4 linked regions of the Coturnix japonica genome follow. The protein of the gene in region 3 purifies or fractionates together with the protein of the main gene of each other region. This does not show direct contact. Links are inferred from orthologs where the notes say so. Each region holds a gene or a part of one and is shown on either strand. Other genes may lie near its edges.

What was found. Proteins that work in one complex are often made in the same cells at the same time.
Region 1: the proteins of POMK (region 3) and CANX purify together in Homo sapiens (affinity purification with mass spectrometry; 3 studies listed by BioGRID and IntAct, counting the BioPlex papers as one, with this or other methods). This does not show direct contact. The link is inferred for Coturnix japonica from reciprocal best matches to the Homo sapiens genes POMK and CANX.
Region 2: the proteins of POMK (region 3) and TMEM59 purify together in Homo sapiens (affinity purification with mass spectrometry; 3 studies listed by BioGRID and IntAct, with this or other methods). This does not show direct contact. The link is inferred for Coturnix japonica from reciprocal best matches to the Homo sapiens genes POMK and TMEM59.
Region 4: the proteins of POMK (region 3) and GHITM purify together in Homo sapiens (affinity purification with mass spectrometry; 3 studies listed by BioGRID and IntAct, counting the BioPlex papers as one, with this or other methods). This does not show direct contact. The link is inferred for Coturnix japonica from reciprocal best matches to the Homo sapiens genes POMK and GHITM.

Annotation. Positions count from the first base shown.
Region 1 is NC_029528.1:4,540,393-4,545,826, reverse strand, and holds part of CANX (calnexin), read right to left. Parts: intron 3,542-5,434; 5' UTR 3,539-3,541; coding exon 3,356-3,538; intron 2,899-3,355; coding exon 2,825-2,898; intron 2,440-2,824; coding exon 2,381-2,439; intron 2,039-2,380; coding exon 1,897-2,038; intron 643-1,896; coding exon 561-642; intron 1-560. UniProt on the Homo sapiens protein: Calcium-binding protein that interacts with newly synthesized monoglucosylated glycoproteins in the endoplasmic reticulum. It may act in assisting protein assembly and/or in the retention within the ER of unassembled protein subunits.
Region 2 is NC_029523.1:22,443,578-22,448,361, reverse strand, and holds part of TMEM59 (transmembrane protein 59), read left to right. Parts: intron 1-915; coding exon 916-1,021; intron 1,022-2,487; coding exon 2,488-2,582; intron 2,583-2,787; coding exon 2,788-2,940; intron 2,941-3,215; coding exon 3,216-3,300; intron 3,301-3,621; coding exon 3,622-3,706; intron 3,707-4,520; coding exon 4,521-4,629; intron 4,630-4,784.
Region 3 is NC_029519.1:30,139,772-30,145,942, reverse strand, and holds POMK (protein O-mannose kinase), read right to left. Parts: upstream 3,645-6,171; 5' UTR 3,475-3,644; coding exon 3,190-3,474; intron 2,654-3,189; coding exon 1,880-2,653; 3' UTR 883-1,879; downstream 1-882. Other genes in the region: HGSNAT (heparan-alpha-glucosaminide N-acetyltransferase), read left to right, coding at 3,718-3,918, 3,995-4,122, 4,435-4,556, 5,465-5,534. UniProt on the Homo sapiens protein: Protein O-mannose kinase that specifically mediates phosphorylation at the 6-position of an O-mannose of the trisaccharide (N-acetylgalactosamine (GalNAc)-beta-1,3-N-acetylglucosamine (GlcNAc)-beta-1,4-mannose) to generate phosphorylated O-mannosyl trisaccharide (N-acetylgalactosamine-beta-1,3-N-acetylglucosamine-beta-1,4-(phosphate-6-)mannose).
Region 4 is NC_029521.1:2,251,905-2,256,188, forward strand, and holds part of GHITM (growth hormone-inducible transmembrane protein), read right to left. Parts: intron 3,484-4,284; coding exon 3,372-3,483; intron 2,745-3,371; coding exon 2,603-2,744; intron 2,071-2,602; coding exon 1,962-2,070; intron 1,191-1,961; coding exon 1,002-1,190; intron 837-1,001; coding exon 665-836; intron 14-664; coding exon 1-13. UniProt on the Homo sapiens protein: Plays an important role in maintenance of mitochondrial morphology and in mediating either calcium or potassium/proton antiport. Mediates proton-dependent calcium efflux from mitochondrion.

The sequences.
Region 1 (5,434 bases), on a different chromosome or scaffold from region 3:
AACTGCTGTACAAGTGTTGTTACCAAGGTAAGTAAATCATTACACAGTGACAATTATGTATTTTTTTAGCAAATCCCTACACTACAAAAATGACTAAAAAGCCACTAATAGAAATATCAGATACTATAAGCCAAATCCAGTGACTTTCTTTCACATACAGAATAAGCATCATTAGAAGTGGAGCTGAGATGTATTTCATTTACACACTTAAGCTGGTATATCCTGCCTCAATTTCAGTCTTAACTGAATATAATCACTGTCAGTCTATTTGCCTTGGCTGATGCTATCTTGAGAGTCAATGCACACACGAAGCTGGCTAGATAGCCAAGTCTTCTGGGTGCCTTTTAAAAATTACATTATACGTAGTCACGTGGCCAAGAAATTTCAGTATTTCTTATCTCCAACTGAAAATACCAGGAAACTGATGAGCCCAAAGTAGTTTGAAGATCAGGCCCTAAATATGCCCCACCGCCTTTACCAAAGTGGTTTCTCTAGAAAGAAAAAAGCTGTGTTGCTTTGTTCCATGGATAACACTCAGTATTAGTATTAGCAGCACTCACCAGGTTCAATTCAGGTGTTTTTGAAAGCAGTTTCACATAGGCCCCACCGCACTCTATTCCATTTTGGAAATTTACTTCATACCTTATTTGGACAGAGAAATGAAGAACACATTATACACAAGCAACATTTACCTTCATAATACATGAATGAATTTATACTTGAAAATTGCAGAGCAATACTATTTTGGTTTTGTTTGTTTCAAATCAAAAGTGAACATTAAAAACACATGCTGCGCTCTAGAGACTAAGCAGATGTTCAAGGGGGCCTGAGAAAAGAAGCAAGGATTTAAAAGACTTAACCTGACAGAAAAGATTAAAAGAATTGAGCATTAGTCTAGAAGATTATGATCCAGAAGTAGAGGGAAGAAAAGGTTTTTCAAGTATGTAAGAGACTGCAATGGAGATTAAGGGGAACAAATTATTTTCCACACAACCATTACAGCAGACAGACAACTCAATTTGCAAGATGACTGAAGTGAGCAGTTGGATCCTAGAAGATCTCCCCTTAGGGTTGCAAGCATACAATAGTATATTTAGAGATGCCAAGGAGTCTGAAAAAGGCAAAGCATGTCGGTCAGGAATAGGCTAAGCATGCTCAAACCTCTCTCAATGCCAGCAGCTGAAGTGAATGACCACTTCAACTTATTTTTAGCCACGCATTTTGAGCCAAAACTAAACAGTAACACAAAGTAAAGTGACCATTTCATTATCTTGTACAAATATGAACTGGATCACTGGCTGTTTATAACTGGTAACATAGGTAATATCCCACAATTCAACTGTTGTCACTGAAAGATTCTTTTCCTGCTTACTAGTCTAACATGCATGCAAGCAGATTCCTCTACATCACTCATGGCCCAACAGAATTAGGCAAGTTGTTCATCTTCCACAACAGATGCACCAGAACAAAGGAAGGCGGAAACAAGTGCACCCTTAACACTCTGCTCACTCCACCTTTGAAACTGGACACTTCACTGAATAAACACAGTGAGAAACATACAGACAAGCTCTTGGTGAAGTGGACATGGACTTTTACAATTAACAGAACAGGCAACAGATTTCTGTGCTAGTGAATGAGAAATTCAAGTCCAGAGACTAATTACCAACTCATAGACTACTTTTTTTGTCAGGCTGCAGTGGGGGCCACTGTGTTCCTAACTTCCCACTTGAGGAATCAAGATTGCTATTTTACTCCTACTCAAATTGTATAATGAGAGGTTACAGTCTATCTTGTGTCATCTAGACCCCCCAGCCAACAAAAGCTCAGTTACAAAATAAACCCAAGCCTACTACCACATCACACCCCTCACAGAACACTAAGTTATCTTTTACTTACTGTATAATAAGGGGCTTGGTATCAAATACAAAAGGCTTTGAAAGCTTGGATGAAATCGCATGATGTTTGGCTCGTGTTACCAACACAAGCCCTTTGTCTCCTGGAAGCTTACTGTCCTTCATGTCTTGGACTTCCCATTTACCTAGACGAAAATTAACAAAGTATTATCAAAACCCATTTGATACAATCTTGTCTTAGCCCAATCCTAAACAAGAAAGTCATCACCATCTTCATACAGGGTGCCTTCAAGTTACTGGGCTTAACATCTTCACTAAAAATTATTTTAAAACCTTTAAGTGGAAATTTTGTTTGAATCTTATCTGAATCAGGATCACACTTTATATTGTTAAGCATGTACACATTCTCCCATTTTCTTCAGTGAACACAATTTCAGGGAGCAAGAAGAACAGACTTGCACCTCTTCTTTATATAAGACAAAATGACATCAGAAACAACTACCAGTCAAAATATGGGTAGGACTCACCATCATACTTAGCAATTTCATCATCTGTATCATCTTTCTTGGCTTTGGAAAGGATCCATCTAGAAAACAAGCATCCAACAGTAAGAAACTCATACTTTTTCATTATGCACACAAAAACCCCTGCTCTTAAAATAGCCTTTGTTGTCCTGTGACTAAACCCCAAGTGTCTCGATCCTGAGCTCTATCCCAAACCTGCCAAGTTCTCAGCTTTATGTAGGATCACTCACTGCCTCAGAATCTGAAGCAAGTACACAAAGTCAGATGAGAAAGATTAAAGCATACATAAAATATGGGCTTCTCTTCCCATTATTACTAGTACCTAAGCAAAAACTGGTTGATCTTGTCACGTGTTGCCTGTTGATTTTCAGTAACAGGCACTAGGAATTCCCTTTCACATAATACTCTGATTTCATCTGTTCAGTTGCCCCCTAATGTTATACTCACCCATCCAGAGTTCCTTTATCAAAGGACTCTACAAAATAGACCTCGCCAGTTGGGACTGGTGCTTTGTAAGTAACCTAGGGGAGAAGAGAGGCATTTATGAACCTTTCAAGGCACATCCTCTAAAGAAGTAGAGGCACATACAGCTCACATCCCACATCCATACCATAAAGCACCTAGAGCATTCTGGCAGCATAAATACAGAAATGTTTACACTGCTGCTTATGCTGAGCCACTGTGCTCTCCTCTGCAACAAGAACTGAAGATTTTGTCTAGCTAGAAACTTTAACATTAATGCCTGATAACTACACCTCAGTTTTCAAATATTCACTGAAGTCTTCGCGAAAGAAGATGCAGGTCAGATGAGAATAGCAAGGAAGCAGCTAAGCTAAATTCCAAACCCTACTCCCTGCTAGTGATCTCTAACAGCATCACTATACATTAAGTTTCAGCAAAGTAAAGTCAACTCTAATCAGACTGACAGTAGCCAAAACACAAGAAGTAATTAAATGTTAAAGAACAACTATGCCAAACCTTTGGAGCTGGAGGAGGAGTGCTGCTTTCAGGATTTGAGTCTTCTACTTCCTCAACACCATCATCCAAGTCATCCTCAATATCAATGACATCATCACCATCATCGTCACCCACATCATGCTCCTGGGCAGCAAGAGTCCCAAGAGCTAGAAGGGTCACAAGCAGCAGCCATTTCATCTCCATTATCTGAATAAATACGAAAAAGAAAGAAGTTAAGCACACACACTAGCAATACACTACTTCTCAGTTGAGAGAATGAGCTTCTCTGGCAGTGGGTGAGGTGTCAAGTCACATCACTGAAAGAGGTACAAACGTAGCTTTCTCTGCTCTACTATTTATTGCTTCTGGCTGGTTAAGACAGGTGAGAAAATGGGAAAGGTATACAACTGAAAGGTGTATTTAATACAAAACAGATGTTAATGCACTGAAGCAGCACACAGACAAGCTCTGCAGTTTGTGCTGGAGTGCCAGTATTGTCCCTCCACTGCCATAGCCCATGAAAAGAGCAGACATGTCTTCAACACAACTTACGTATCTAGAAAAACCGAATGGGAAAATCCACTTCTTGTTTGTGAGAAACTTTGAAGGCAACAGGCTGACACTGGTATTCCTATTCAGTTCATAAATACCAGCTACCTCCTTCAAGCATCTACAAAGCAACCCATCTTCTACCTCAGTTCAGTCATTTTCTTGTTCTCATACACAGGACATCAGTACCTTCATCCATCAGTCCCCTTCCCCACACCTCCTTCTAGACAGATTGCCAGCAGTCACTGATGCTGTTCAGCAGGCATCTATGAGCAGCTGGATACTGAAGCAGACCCAGAAGAAATCCCACTGTTCAACAGGCCGTCAATTTCATCTCTAATTCAACAGGATGATCAAAGAAAAAAAATCTAATACAGAAATCTTATAGAACTAAAACGTCACACCAATTAATTTACGGGATGCCCAGCATGTCATCCTAACTAAAACATAGCAGACCTTGAGAAACTCAAGTTCAAAAGATCTCTGTAAGTAAAATGACATAAAAAGAATGACTCAATCACTGAACCTTTAGGTGGATGTAGAAAGCAAAACTCCTACCAGGCTGCTCATCATTTTATCAGCGCTACAGACAGACATGCGATGCTCACAGCAAGGAGATTTGCTCCTTTCAATTACATTCCAAATATTTTCTTTCCAGAGTTGTAGCTGAGGCTGATTCCTTCTAGAACCAGATTATCAAACTAAACATTCTCCCCTTCCTACACATTCCTGCCCCAGGCTGCAGTCCCACAGATTTACAAACATAACTCAAGGAGAGTGAATAAGGCCTGGAGGGGCGTAAGTTTGAGCTAGAAAACAAATCTACTTTCTAAAGCATGTTCAGGCAACTAAAAGCATTTACAGTCTCAGCAGCTTATCAGCACTATCCATATACCACAACTCCACTGCATGCCAGATGTACCATTCTAAGATTATTCTTTAACTTGCTTCTAATGACAGAGGGGATGTTTTATTACTCCAACTAAACTGCATTTTAGAGACTTGTGTTGAGGTCACGTCCAGTTTGTCACTACAGCAACATGCAGTCACAGCCTGTTCCATAACAATAGCGATGGCCTCGAGGATTATGGTCTCAATCCATGCCCACAGCCCTCCCCTTCACAGCTCAGGCAACTGCACCAAAACAGCACCAAGCCAAAAGGAATCAGCGCACAGCATGAACAGCTGACACAAACTTTTAGTGCTCCTACATATAAGCAATGCCTGCTTTGTTTGGGTTGTTTTTGTTTTGTTTTTTAAATGAACAGAGTACAGTCAGAATGGAGAAGAGTTCCAGGCTGCACAGAGGCACACGGATCTTTACTGCGAATGTGGGAGCCACAATACAAAGCCAAAGAACAAAAGCTGTCAAGGAAACATCAGAATCAACAGAAGCTGAAATTCTCCTGCATAGACAGCAAGCTCTGAGTAGGGCCATGCCACAGGGACAGAACAGGAGGAAAAAAACAAGAGCCAGGAACATCTGTTGAAGAAGCAATGGTTAAAGCTCTGGATTGTGCCCTGTGTGACTCAAGCAGCTCCAGGTGAGGT
Region 2 (4,784 bases), on a different chromosome or scaffold from region 3:
CTGCCTTTAAAGCACATTAGTTTGTGTTCTCAAGCAATGACAGTGTGCTTACAGTAGATGATACAGTAAGGTGTGGTGTGTTTGTTTTTGATGTAATGAATGCAGAGTCTCTTTCTCCCCTGTAACGAAAGTGGCTGCAGTCACAATAGGTGGCTGTTTAGTTACCAGGCTTGGTGGATCTGATTCACTTAAAGGAGGCTGGCTGTAACTCTGCAACATTGAGACCACCATGTGTGGAAAGTACATCTCCACCCCTCTGTGCTGTGCTCAGAAGGAATACTGGGTTATAGGTTAGTAGTGTTGTAGTAGCACTGGGAAAGAATTATTCTCCTGCAGTGAAAGAAAAATGTGGTTTTGTGTAACTAGTTTTTCAGGTAAGTAGTTGACCGTGGTACTGCTAAAGAAATTAATCAGGAGTTAATCATTTATTTTGGTGATTCTGCTGTAGTTCCAATAAGAGACTGGTGGATACATTGTAATACAGGGTAAAAACAACCAAACAAACAGAGTCTGCTTTGATCTTCACCCATTGGGTTCTCTTAATGATCTGAAGTGGATGACTGTGCACCCATTCTGTGCTTTGTCAGAGATGCAGCCTGGCTTTGCTGTGAGCCATAGGAATAGAATTGCAATGTGGCATTTGCTCTCCCAGCTCTGGCTTTACCCCAGGACTGAGAGCTCTGTCTGAAATGGGTCGGGCTGCGTCACAGCGTTACAGAACTGGAGCTGTGTTTTATTTCAGATGATCCAGGCTGTCTTATTTTTCTGACTTCTGGGTCTGGTGGGGGGAAGGATGGTGGTGCTCTACTGGGTGGCTTTCTGTAGTGCTTAATTTGTGGGGTTTTGGTGGTTTCTTTGTTTTGGTCTATTTATTCTTGAATGGAGGAATGTAAGTGTTCTCTTGTGCCTTCCCAGGAAGAGGAGCTGTACGCGTGCCAACGAGGCTGCAGACTGTTTTCCATTTGTCAGTTTGTGGATGATGGCATCGATTTGAATCGAACCAAACTGGAATGTGATTCTGGTAAGAAATCAAAACTCCTTTAACTTCCCCTGATGTGGAGGGAACAGCAGCAGCATCTGAAGGATGTTGTTAAATTGGTGGGATTATTTCAATTGCTTCCATGCAACTTCAGGCTCATTTATAGAAGTGAATTATTCAGATGAAGAGCAGGTATCACAATGTATGTCTGCCTTGTAGCTTGTGGTCTAGGCTAAACTCTTAACGCAGTAAACTACATTGAAATAGGGATCTAAACACTCAGGACTAATTGTCTCAGATCTGTGTTAGAGTGATAATCTCATAGTGAAGGTGAAATCTATATGTGCTGTCGCCAATTAACACAGTTTCTGCAGCTATGCAGAACTTCTATGTAATAATAGCAAGGTGGCTGCTTAACAGTTTTGTTCAGAGATTAAGTGGGATGTAACCACCCAAAGCAGGAAAACCAGCAGAGTAGCTCCCCTCTATTTCTGAAATATAATTAAAACATCAGCACTAAGAGGAGGCTTTTGTCTTCTTAGTAATTCATAAAAACAAGAGGGCTAGTAGTTAGCTCAGGGAGCTGCGGGAAGATACACAAGGAGAAAGCCTAAAATGCAAAGTTGTTAATGTGGTACAAAGCCATATTAAATGCTCTAGAAATGGGCTAGTGCTTTAGTCTGTCATACACTGTGTATAGCTGTGATACAGCTTGTCAATCTAGTTGTCGAACCACACATGAAAGAGTGCCATAAAAAGGGTGATGTAGCGATAAGGCACACGTAGAGGTAATTGAACAGTTGCTTGCATTCTGATCTAACTCTCCTTTCTGAGGCTGTTGTCTTTTGCTGGCTTATGTTCTGTAATCTGTAACCTGAGTTCTCCATGTATAAATGTGAATAACTTAGGTTTCTTGGTCTTCATGGTTTCTAGCGAGCAATTGATAGAAGATACATGTAAATGAAGAGTTGGCTTCATTTAATTTGTGTTGAAAATTAATTCATCAATACTTTCAACACAGTTAATGTACTTACTGTGTTAGCAGGAAAATGTTCCGTAGGTTTTGCTAAGGAATAACGTGCTTTCTACTATTACCCCTGACAGGTTTAGTAGATCTGTGGTCTCTCTACTTGTTTAGAATTCCAGCTTTGTTCTCTAGGATAAAGTAGTAAAAATGTTTGACATGATCTGTAGAGGAAAAAAATACAGCGGTGGTAGGAGAATCAATGAAAACTTGCAACCTTGAGTTTGCCCAGATTCATGTTTGTGATCGGTTGCTCTGACAGCATTCAGATTTAAAATATGTGATTTGTATGAGCTCCAATTCCTTAACCTTCATTAGGCCCAGCACCAAATGCTGATCTTGGAATGATTGCCATATCTTTCCCTACAAATGAGGTTGTCAATCTCTTTAACTGCTGCTTTGTTTCTGATCCAACTTATGTTGGAAATGTTTTCTTAACTAAAGTGCAGAATTTATCTTCTCATTTTGGGCACTTCTCTTGCAGCCTGTACTGAGGCATACTCCCAGTCTGATGAACAATATGCTTGCCATCTTGGATGCCAGAACCAATTGCCATTTGCTGAGTTAAGACAAGAGCAAGTAAGTACATGACATGTTTTTCAAATACCACCTACTTGTTTTCTGTTCAGCGTGTCTTCCCTTTTTTAAAATTCTTCAAATGACATCTTTTTAAGAATTGAAATACAGACATGTATTTCAGATGGGGAGATGAATGAGCATGAACATAAGTTCTGTCCTCTTCAAATGAAAACAGATTGAAAACCAGCTAATGTTTTATTTGCAGCTAATGTCCCTGATGCCAAGAATTCATCTCCTCTTTCCTCTGACACTGGTGAGATCCTTCTGGAGTGACATGATGGATTCAGCTCAGAGCTTCATAACATCCTCATGGACTTTCTACCTTCAAGCAGATGATGGCAAAATTGTCATATTCCAGGTGCCTGCCTTTTTGTTGAGGTTAAGATGTTCTGGGTGCTAAATACTTATCTGTGCTCCTTCCAGTCTCAGAAAAGACTATGGGTCACTGTCAGAAGTGTTCAGCTTTTGGTAGCATTTTGCTGCATTTAGTGCCATTTCAGGGGTAAAAAAAGAAATAAAATTATGTGAATGGAGCATGTCTTATGACTGACTTCCCTATTAATTCTGAAAATGTAGAGGATCAGATGAATGGAAGGCTGCTAACAGGATCTGTTCATCCTTGTTTTGTTTTAGTCAAGGCCAGAAGTGCAGTATGTTCCACAGCTTGATCAGGAAGCTGAAAATAGAAGAGGATCCTTGTCCCTGAGTAAAACAGCTTGTAAGTTCTTCTTTCTGGTTTGGAAGAGCAAATGCAAATGTTCCATATCATACAAGAAAAAAAAACCAAAACAATGAAAAACAATAACCAGAACCAAAGTTGCAGGTGAAATATGAAAGCACATTTTTAGAAAGCTGAAGTGCAATTCTTTGCAGTGCACATTAGCAAGGTCTGTTGGTAGTAACCAACTCTCCTGGAAATAGAAATGTTTCAAGCCAGGGCCATTGTGAAATCTTCCCTTTGTGTTCTCTGTAGACAAACTGGATAAAGTTTGTGTCTTTTATTGCTTTTCTGACAGCTGCTTCTGCTGTTCTATTTCAGCGGACCCACAGCCAGGAAGCTCGCAGACATACCGAGGACTTTTTGAAGAGCAAGGAAACGACAGCTTTTTCAAGTGTCTTTCCATGTATGTATGTCAGTACCTGGTACAGGGCATAGTGGTGTGTCCTACATGTGTGGTGGCATTTCTGTAAGGCATCAGTCTTACAAGTCCTTTCGGTTCAGATTGAAGAGCAGTTAAACTGTTGTATCCAACCTTTTGTTATGGCTGCATTCCATGCTCACCCTGTGTTATCTGTGGGCTATTCTGCCAGCTTTCATTCTCTTTCCCATTCTAGTTAACTATAATACTGATAATTTCTTACTCTTATTTTTTTCTATGTGGAACATGATGTTGATAACTTTTTACACATTTTTTAGTATATTCAGCAAACTGTACCATCAGTTCCCAGTTTTACCTTTCTTTAGCTCTGGTTGTGTTTCAGGACAAAACATTTTTCTTTCCAAATGCAAAGGGCACTGTTGTGTCTCAGGTCTAGTCTGGAAATACCCAGTATATATTAAAGCTTTGCTGAATATCAGCATTTAGGTTATTTCTTCTCTCAGTCACTGACTGTTTCATTAAAAGCTGAGGTGTGAGGGATCAGTGAACTGCACCTTAAGTGCATAACAAAAATCTGTCCGTTGCCAAGATCTTAAATGGGAGAAAGTTCAGGGCCCCAAACCAGGACCCAGCAAGTTTTTTATAATCTTTCAAATTAGATACTAAATAAGTGTTAGATGTTATATTGTATAAGCAGCTGTCAGAAGTAGGCTGTGCAGCTGGGGAGAGAGAGTGACTAGTGAAGGAGCATGAAATGCAGTCAAAATGGACACAACTTTTAAAGACCCATTATTTTGTATCCAGTATATGAAATCTAGCAACATTCTTTTCATTTCAGAAACTCCAGCTGGATTTTAACCACTACGCTTGTTCTGTCCGTGTTGGTGCTCCTCTGGATTTGTTGTGCAACTGTAGCGACAGCTGTAGAGCAGTATGTTCCATCTGAGGTAACTGTTATGTTATTCTTACCTTACAGCTTTCTACAGAATAATCAACATAACAGGGAGATCAATTATAAAGAGTTTTTTATTTTGCTGATGTGGTCAGCAGACAAATTCTTGTTTGAATGATTTTCTAGCTGAACATCTGTCCGTCCTTGTGG
Region 3 (6,171 bases):
TACCAGGAAGAGCTCTGCTGGCTACAACTGCACAGCTGGAAAATGGCAAAATCAGCTAAATTAAGAAAATAGACTGCACACTGGGAAAGGAAAACCATAATGACCAGCTTTGAAAGAACTCCTGCTGGCATTATAAGAAATCAGAGGGGAATTTTGTCATGTGAAGGACAGTCTTCTCATTTATGATAAAGTTTTACAGCAAAAGAACACAGAATCACAGAATCACAGAATGATCCAGGTTGGAAGGGACCTCAAGGATCAACCCCCCTGCCTGGCAGGGCCACCAAACATACACCTTTACTAGATCAGGTTGCCCAGGGCCCCGTCCAACTGGTCTCGAACACCTCCAAGGACGGGGCATCCACAACCTCCCTGGGCAGCCTGTTCCAGGGCCAGAGTTGAACATAAGTAAAAAACCTGCTTTCAGTTCAGTTATAACACGGATTGTTTAGATGAAGTAGACTATCACTGTGGCAACAGAAACAAACTCCTCAGCAGAAAGGACAGTGTACTTCTCTGCCTGCAACTCACCTCTCAAGGCAAGAAGCAAGCTGTCTCAGGCCATTAGGCCTTCCAAAGACCTACTCCATAGCATAGAAAGTCCTCTACTAAAGCTAAAGTCCACATCTCATTTGTAGTATTCCTGTTTGTGTTTTTTTTTATTCACCAAGAGCACAACTAAATCCCAATCTCATCAAGCAGGGCCTGCTCAGAATTAAGGTATCGCTCTACTCTTTCTCCAGCGGTTGGTACCTGTGACAGGCTGTAACATCGTGTTGGTATCAGGAGCTTTCTCCTAAACTCACTGAACAAAGAAGCAGCCTTTTTATTTTTTTTTCTTCTTCTGGTGAATACATTTTGAATTCAGGCCTGACAGAGTTGTTTATTCTGAATGTAAGGCTTTTATTTTCCAACACACAATTTGCTGTCAAAGGAAGTCACGTTCTCTTCCCATTCCCTATTCTTTCTCCTTCCATCCACGCATGATGTTCAGGAAACACAAAAGTGAGTACAAAAGAGATGAACTGAATACAAATAAAAGATACACTTTAGCTATTTTCCAAAGAGCTCACACTTCCTATGGATTAAAAAAGAGCAAGAGGACTCCTGGACCCTCATCTCCAAAGAACCTTGCTGAGAATGCTGTAGGGGCAAATGTTTCAAAACCAAAACCATGCACGTTTAAGCTGTCTCTGTATCATTTGCTTGCCTTCAAAATAACAACATGCTGTTTAGTGGGATATGGGGACCACAAAGCAGTGGTCGCATGGCTCTGAAAGCAGCCCATGGAATCCCCCAATACCCCATTCAGCAGGGAGGCTGGGCAGAGTGGCTGGGAAGGTGGCAGCGGGGCTCACCAAAACCTTCAGAGAACTATAGTCATTTTTGAACGACCGCTGCTTTTACTCCATAGGGAAGCAGGTGAGGACTTTGTGCATAAGACATGGGCCAAAGCCACCAGAATCAGCACAGAGCTTGAGAGGGGCATGTTGTAGCCTCTGTTCCCCAGACCTCTGCCAATTCGTTTAAGTAGGACAGTATTTTTCTTTTTTTTTTTTAACTCTGTCTGTACAAAAATGTTTTGTGTTTGAAAAGGGAATTTTATATAAATGCTGCAAAAGAAAAATTCTGGTCCTCGAGAGATTTCCCCAGTCCTCAAAACATAATTTCTCTCCCTCCTCCTCTTGCACTGACAGATTAAACACAGCAATGGGAAAGATGCACAGCTTCAGCATTGGGTAGATAATTTTTAATCGAAAGGTAAAGTACAAAGTCAGTTACTTTTGTCTTCTCAATTGAGGGAACAGACACTTTGCCCTTCAGGCAAGCTAAATAAATAAGAACACCAACTTCAGCCCACTGTTGGTCCCATGATTTGTTACAACATTTCCCTAGTACTAGGCATGGCTGCCTCCCGAACCAACAGAGTTAGAACTTTCTTGTAGGTGTCTAAGATCTCCTGGGCAGATGGCCTTTGGGCTGGGTCCTTCCTCTTACATGCCGCATGGATATCAAACAAGTGCAGTCGCACAATGTCACTGCCTTCAACGTGGCCCAAGAAAAAATTGGAGACATCCGGGATTTTCCAGATGTCTGTTTTTTCATCGTATGGGGGCATGAGGTCATCATCAAACGGCACGTCCTCTCCATAGGGCCAACGCTGCTCAGGAGCTACAAACTCACCCCAGAGCTCCCGATGCCCACACTTGACCAGCCTGCCGGCGCTCCTGTTCACCAGGGGCAAAGCGTCCAAATCATTCACCAGGATGTGAAAGTCACTCGTTAGAAGATACTGAGAGAGCACCTTGTCCAGGTCGTTGGAATCGCACATCACTAAGGTGCCCAGAGGGCTGTTGTGCAGGTAGCGAATGATGCTCACGTAGTCTATAGCGAGCAGCAGCCTTCGATGCCAAGTGTTCATGCTCTTGTACTTGGGGAGGTGCAGAGTTTCATTCAGACCCCTCAAGGAACCTAGAGGATGGTACTCAGTGAGGATTGTGAACTGCTGCTCGCAGTAGCCGAGCAGTCGGACAACGTGCTTGCTCTGTAGTGCTTTCAGCATCTTCAGTCCGTGGAGAAAGTCTTCCTTCAGCTCTGGGTTGGTGAGCTGTGAAATGACCACTTTGTTTTCCTTCCACTCAGAAAGAAAGACCTGAGGACACAGAAGAGATGCGTAAGACATGTGGAGAACCTTCCTCCGCTGACTGTTACCATGTGGCATCCAAGCGAATGCTTATTCACAGCCACAAACTACAGTCACCCAGTGCGGTCAGTCTCATGCTGGTGCATGACTGTACAGTGTTATGTCAGCAGCGAAGCCTCTGGGCTTTGCCGTACCTGCTGCACATACATGTTGCAGCAAACCCTTCCTGATTTTGTAATCACAGCGATAGGATGGCTCGTGATTTCCAGAGCTTTCATTGGAACGGCTTCATACCACCCAGCCGGACTTGCTCTGCCACAGTTGCACCATGCGAAGCACTTCGCCCATCCCCGTGGTGCTGTGTGTGTAGCTGGTGTTTGGTGAGACAGGTACAAACATGGCCGTATTTCTCCTGCCTCCTACCTCACTTGTAGCCTAAGACTTTCAGCTGCTCTAAGGGCAGCTATAAAAGCAGCGTGGGCAGCTAAAAACGAAAGCCCTTGGGAGCTGAATCACTGGTGAGAAGAAAGGATAACCAGACTCACCTTTTTCACAGCTCCTTCGCCAACACATTTGAGTTTTCTGACTTCCCTATTGATGGCTTCACAGGAGAGCCATGGGGAGCAGTTTTTCACCGGCCCTAGTCTGAAAGACCCGTAAGGGCAAAGGCTGGGCTCGGCGTCGGCGCGGCCCGAAGAGCCGTGCGTGTTGCCGAGGTACAGGTAGAGCAGGGCGTTCAGCAGCACCGCCACCAGCAGCAGCACCGGCAGCAGCGAAGGCGCCTCCCTGGGAGGAAAGTCTCTGTTCACGAAATGCGCTTTCTTTTCCATCTCCGCTATGGAAGACACGGGGCTGACAGCTCCCTCCGCAGCGCAGGGTTCTAAGGGGCCGTTTCATGGCAGCCCGCACAACCGCCTCCCCGTGCTGCCCAACCGCGCGGCCCGCGCTCCGTGCGGACGGCAGGCCAGGCTCCGAGCAACACTCGGCCCGACGCCCCTGACCGCCGGGACCGGGCCGCGGCGCCGGGCGCGCTTCTGGAGCGGCGCCGCCCCGGGGCGGAGCGCGGCGGAACGATGGCGGCCGCTGTGGCGGCGGCCGTGGCGGTGGCGCTGGGCGCGTTGCTGCTGGCGCAGGGCCGCACGCAGCCGGGCGGAGAGGGGCCCACTGCCGGGCCGCCGCCGCCGCTCAAGATGGACCAGGCCCTTCTAATGGTCCGCAACGAGCCGCCCGTGCAGGGCCTCCGCTTGCTCGCCCGCTCCGCAGCCTGCCACCGGGTGAGCGCGCCGAGCCGGGCGGAGACCGGCCCGCGGCCTGCGGCTCGGTTCGCCTCACCCTCCGCTTCCTCCGCAGTGCTCCTACCAGCTGCTGGCCGACGTCCCGCCGAGCGACGGCGGCCCGAGCGCGGTGGCGGTGGTGGACACCCAGCATCCGCTCAGCCTGCTGCTCAACGGCTCCCAGGCCGGCAGCGAGCTCTGCAAGTAAGTGCCGCCGCCCCGGCTCTCCCGTGTGCTGCTGGGTTTTTGTTTCCCCCGCGCTGCGAATGATGTTGTATCTTTGTCTCCACCTTCACCTCTTTCCTGACCACTGAGACCTAGGGTTCGCCAGGCTCTGGGTTACACTGAGTGGGTCTGGGAGCAGGGGCAGCCTATGACAGGGCCCAGTCTCACATGCAGTGGTGCGAGGAGATGGGTGATGTGAGCTTTGGGAGGGTGATGCTCACCCTGCAGCTCTGTGAGTGATGCCTTGTTATCTACATGGAACAGCAAGTTCTGTCTCCCTTTTCTTTGCAGGATTCAGTATCATTTTGGAGAGTTTGGCAATTACTGCCTAGTGGTAAAGACCCTAAACACAAGTGCCAAAACCATTTCTTGTGACATAGTCGTCAATAAAGGCCCCATCAACAGCTACCTCCGTATGTAATGCTCAGCTTTCCTCTTTCATTCTGCAACATGCATGTCTCAATAAAGCCAGCTACCTGAAATGCCTCTGTAGCTACCTGGGTTGTATTGAAGCATGCAGTGGGTCTGCACGTCTTCTCTCTCAGTATTTTGCCTCCTTACGTTTTACATCCCTGCCTGGAGGCCCTGGCCAAAATCAGGTCTCTTCACTTGAGATGCCCTGTGACCACAACATTTTTGGAGCAGAAATTGGCCTCACAAAAATCAGTGGGCATTTTATCCAGAGGGAGATTTTATCATTCTTGGTTCTTCTTTCCCTCCATGTTTCTGAACACACACAGGACTCTTGTTCTTCCCTCTGTCTTGCTTCTCTTATAAAACAGGAAACAAATCTTAGTATTTGGATTTCTGTTTTGTAGTCTTTGTGCTTTTAATTTTAAGCCCGCTGCCTTCCTTTTTTTGTTCATCTCCTTTCTCAGGTCTTCTTTAAGCTCTCATCTCTTCCATTCCACTCCTTTGCATTAGGCTTTTCTTCAGTCCTTCCAGTTCTCCAGCTATACAGAAAAATCCTTCACTCTTTCAAATGCTGTTACTCTCTCCCTGTACTCATTGAGGCTATCTCTGAGTCTCTAGGTTTTTCATCAGAACATACAGCACATCAACGCTTTCTTCACTATTGCTTCAGTGTGCATTTATTTTGCCTTTTTATGCCAAGATGTGCAGTTACTGATTGCTAGCCTGCTTCACTTTTGTTCTTTCTCTCTGTGGGACTCAGGCTGGGGATACATATTCTGTGGAGAAAGTGGGGTGATGGATGGTGGGATGAGCTGGTTGTCGTGTTTGTATCACGCTTGACCAGACTCCTGCCAATGAGCAGTTTTGCTGTGTAAGATACGGAGTTGTGTTCTTCTCTTCCATGTAGCTATCCTCTTTGCATTCCTGGTTTACTCGGGGATCCTTGCTATCCTGATCATCTGTCGCCTTGTTATGAAGTAAGTGAACAGCATGGTAACACCTCCTCATGCGTGAGATGGGGTCACCCATTTAAAAGTAGCATGGTAGTGCTTTGGAGTTCCTGCTTGCAGGTAACACCCTGCTGCCAGGCTGCCATGTACAAGTCAGGCTGTGGTAGCTGTCCATGCAATGACAAATGCAGGGTGATGTGATTTCTCTTGAGGAACATCTTACAGCTTGCTAGCTTCTATGCAGAGCAGTTGCTGGAGAGCAGCTGACATCAGCCGTAAGCTGATACACACTCTGCTTTACCCTCCCGGGACGCATTCCTGGGAACAGCCTCAAATCATCAGTGCAAATAGTGGGACCTAAGCATCTTCAATAACTATGATATTCTGTCATGTGAGCTGAGTGACTTGAGTCCCTGTCTGTGGACAGCCTGAGAGCAGAGATCCCAAATTTAATCTTGTAGCAGCACTGTCGGGTGAATGGATGTAACTGGGGTCACAGGTACTGGTTGTATATCTGTATCGCATACATAAACTGGAGAAACATGAGTAGGGGCCATCCTAGCTTTTGAGTTATGCTACTAAATAGTTGACATTAAGATGGACTTGGCTATGAAGTAGCCAATTTTTGTTTTGTTTTGTCTTTTAAACTGTTACTAATTTTCAG
Region 4 (4,284 bases), on a different chromosome or scaffold from region 3:
AATGCCCATGCACCTAGGAGACAAAAAAGGACAGTTAACCCTGTTGAACATGAAGAGCATTAACTGGTACTTCATGCCATTATACTTGACTTTTTAAAAGCCTCCATTGAAGGCCTGTCATAGCGATGGCACGTCTTCTGCCCTTGATGAGTGAAAACACCCCCTTACGATTTCACTCTACCATCTTTGCCAGCAGCATCCATCGGCAAAAGCCCTTAGCAGACATCATACTGCTCTCTCATGGAATTCTTTCTGTAACGCCTTGTTTAAGCTATTGGGTTTTTTAAGCGATTGAAACTAATAAGTACTACATAACCACAGAACACTTAGAGTGCTTGATCTCGGCCGATACTGATAGTTATTTGCAGATACCTGCTACAAATCCTCCTAGTAATATTTCACAAACTTTTCTCTTTAACGAAGTTAGCATCACTGAAGGCACGTAACACCACATATTCAAAACCGTTTCCCTCCTTGCAGACAGATGCTTTCAGTTTCAACTGCGCTGGTTATTTTCACATTACATTACTAAACCCTATGATAGTTCCCATTTAATATAAAGATGCTTCCCAAAGGTAAACAAAAAGCACAGCTCTTCAGGAGTAAAGCATAGTCATACAGTAGCTCATAACGGTCACACGTACATTCGGATCAAAATACTTACGCATTGATGGGGTCATATTTGATTACTCCGTAATAAGGAATAGTCTCTGCGCGTTTGATAACATGCTGCGTGTCATAGAGCAGGAACAAGCCGAAGAGTACCAATCCTCCATAAACAGCTACGGAATACAAGCCAGCCCCAAAAGCAGAAGTAGGCGGCAAGAACATGGATCCTGGAAAAGAATACACAATAACATTCATAAACCTACTGCCAAGTCTGACAATGGTTATTTCAGGCCAACTTGAACTGGTCAGTTTGCAAAGAGAAGTCAGCTGCACATTCTAGTAGCTTCAGTTTATAGCCCGCTCTATTTAACAGTAATGAATTGGTACTTTACCAATCGAAGAGGCAAGAACGAAGCCAAAGCCTATTCCAAGCGGTCCTCCCATGTTCAGGAATTTTTCACTCGGAGCGCACACGGCCACAGTCGAAAGCCCTCCGACGATTCCAGCCGTATACCAGGCAGCTCTGATCAGCAAGGGACCACCCAAGAAAGCCAGAGGAGCCACCACCGCACCCATGACACCTAGCCAAAGTAGCAGAGAAACAAAACAAAACGTCTGGAACAGTCTGTGTAAAAAAAAAGACAACCTACCAAAACCATATATTTTTGAGTCAGATAATATGGCTTGAATCCACTTACATTAAAGCATACCAATGCACTTGGTTTTCAATTTATCATGCTACCTTCTAAACAGGCGCATGATTTTATGTTTGGTGACCTACTTTTTCTGTAGCTTAAGAGAAAACTTAAGGGAGCTCATCTTACAAAGAACTAATCGACCCCTTCACAGCTTCTGGAACACTCAGAACAGATAGATTTTTTTTTGCTAGAAATCAGTGATGCTTTTTGCTAGAATACTGTATGAAGCCCCTACCTACTAATGACAAATCACTATGTTAAATCTAATTTCTTTTTGGTAGAAACTTGAGCTCTACAGAGAAAAGTGTAATTCCAGCTCCTGATGAGTTTTTCTTTTCCAAACCACGCTTCTGGCCGAAGTTCTCAAGACAGACAGCCATTGTTAACTCAAGTATGTAACATCCATAAGAAACGTATCTGTACTCTACCCTGCAATTCAGTTGAGAACATACAATCGAGAAGTTGCAGTTTAATACCAAAACTGTACCTTTTTCATCAGTTTTCATACACTTATCAAGTACAGCTGAAAAACACTGAGCATAGTGCCGAGATCAACAGCAGTGCATAAAAATGAACAAAGCTTTGATATTGTAGTACAAGTAAGAATTTAGTCCTACAGCAGGAGACAACTTAATGAAAACTATAATCACGTACCCGAATGCATCATCCAAGCCAGATGTTTAGCTGCTGGACTGTTTTCATATGATATGGACCTGACCAACATTCCGGCACCAATCATGGTGGCAAAAGTTGCACCGATAGCCTGTAAGAACAGCATTACAGAACTCAAGATGGCGTAAGGACAAAAGGTCTCTGTTCTCCCACATGATCTTTTCCAGCCTACTAGAAGGTAACTTGCTCTTATCACAAAGGAATAACCACTGCACATTGTGCTATATTTAACCGTTACTATTCCACCGCACTCAGCACACCGAACGTGCAGGAAGCAGACATGTTCTGTTAGTATCTCATCTGAATGAGGTGATATCGGTCTGCCAATATCACTTTGGTCTCAGCAAAAAGGAGTTTTCAAAGAGTTATAAAGAGCAGCAAGCAAAGGAGAACAAATGCATAGAAACCTCTGCTACGACGTTTACAAAGTGACAGAAATAACATCACTAGCTTCAAGCAGCTATTCACAGCAAGCTATTACTAGGGCACTTATGCTACTGCAGTTGTCCTTAAGTGATAATTTGCTTTACTTTTCACAGCACACTTTATGTCGTGTACTTTTTATAACAACTGTTAACATTTACAATCATTTTAGAGATGCTCTAAAACAAATAGAAGCTTACCAGCCAGGAACCTTTTGTCATAAGACCCATGAGCGCAGGAGACCTGCTTACTGCTACAGCCGACAGCGCTGTCAAGCCAATGCTTCCCGCAAAGTACATGTAGGTAGACTGAATTCTGTCTTTCACATACTGGGGCCAAATACTGAAAAATAAGCATTTGGACGTAACTGTGCAATTAACAACACCATAACGAAGACCAACTATAAAGATATAAAAGCTAAGGATACAATGGGAGCCATTTAGTTGTTTAGCCATTGCTCTCATGCATCGCTCTTATAACAAAGGGGCTGAACTTTTAAATCCTTACCACTATACAGAGCCATTACATAACAATTACAGCAAAAACTATAAAGAATGCTACTATGGTTCAATTCTGTGAAGTAAGCACACGTTACAAAAAGTACAAATGGGAAAGAGAAATAAATGCACATTAATTACGGAAAACTATAAAACAGCATATGCACAATACACTGGGTAAAGGAAAAATGGTACAGAAGGTGCCCTCAGCAGTAGGAAGCCCAGTGTGCTGCTCGCAAAATGCTGAGTCACTCTGTCTGTGTTTATCTGCTGTAACAAGACACGCCTGTCATTTGGAGAGCACGAGTAATGCAAAAAGACCTGAATGAGAGCTGTTGCAGTACGGTTTCATCATGCTACAGATGAGAAGCTTAAAATCCTGCACAGAAGTAAGAGCTTTCTGCCCAGAGCTTAAGAAACATAATCTACGTGTATTTTCGGAGACAGCACCTAGAGAAGCAATTTTACTTACACTGCTCTTTCAATAGCTCCAATCTCACTGGACATGCCCATGCCATAGTAACAGAGCGCCCCCAAACCAACAGCAGCCCCTCCAGCAACAACAAGCCTTCCCAGGCGATCAACTGTACCAAAAGGAACAAAATAAAAATCATGCATTCACAAAATGCTTTTTCTTGGATAGAGAAAAACATTTTGACACCAGTTTCCCCTATCTGTAACAGCTGCCCCACCTTAGGCTTCTTCAAGCTTTGCTTCCCAAGTTGCCTTACTGTTTCTTGAAGATCTTTATGTGAAACACTCTAGATTCACTCCACTGCCACCACAGAGCTTCACAAAACACAATAAGAATTAAAAAAAGAAGCTAACTAGCTTACTTACTAAACTTACTTACTAAACTTACTAACTAAAGTCAGTAAAGCTGACTTTACTGGTCTTTATTACACAAACAAATAGGAACTGCAATACAAAACCAGTTAAAAAGATCCCCCACAGAAGAGTTGTGGATACCGTACCCTTTCCTGTCCTCCACCCTTAATGCCTGCTTGACCAAGATTAGAAAAAAATCAAGTTGGTTTTTTTCCCAGTCCTTATACATTGTACCGTACTCCCTTTCAACGGCATACAAAGCAGACAGCAAAGTACAAGCTTTTTTTTTCCCCCCCTCAAACATTTGCAATCAAGGAAGTACTAATCTCCATCAATATGAACTCATACTGACGTAACAGTTCAGAACTATAGTTCAAAACAAATACAAGGGTAAGAACACAGGAAAGATAAGCAGAGAAGCGGCCTCCAGACATTTAAGATAGACCATGGGTCAACTTAAAATACTAAACAATGTTTTCAGACTATTTAGCAATTTGAAAGGAACCACTTCCTTCAACAGAGTTTGAAGCTGAGCTTTAAAAAAAAACACGTAGTTT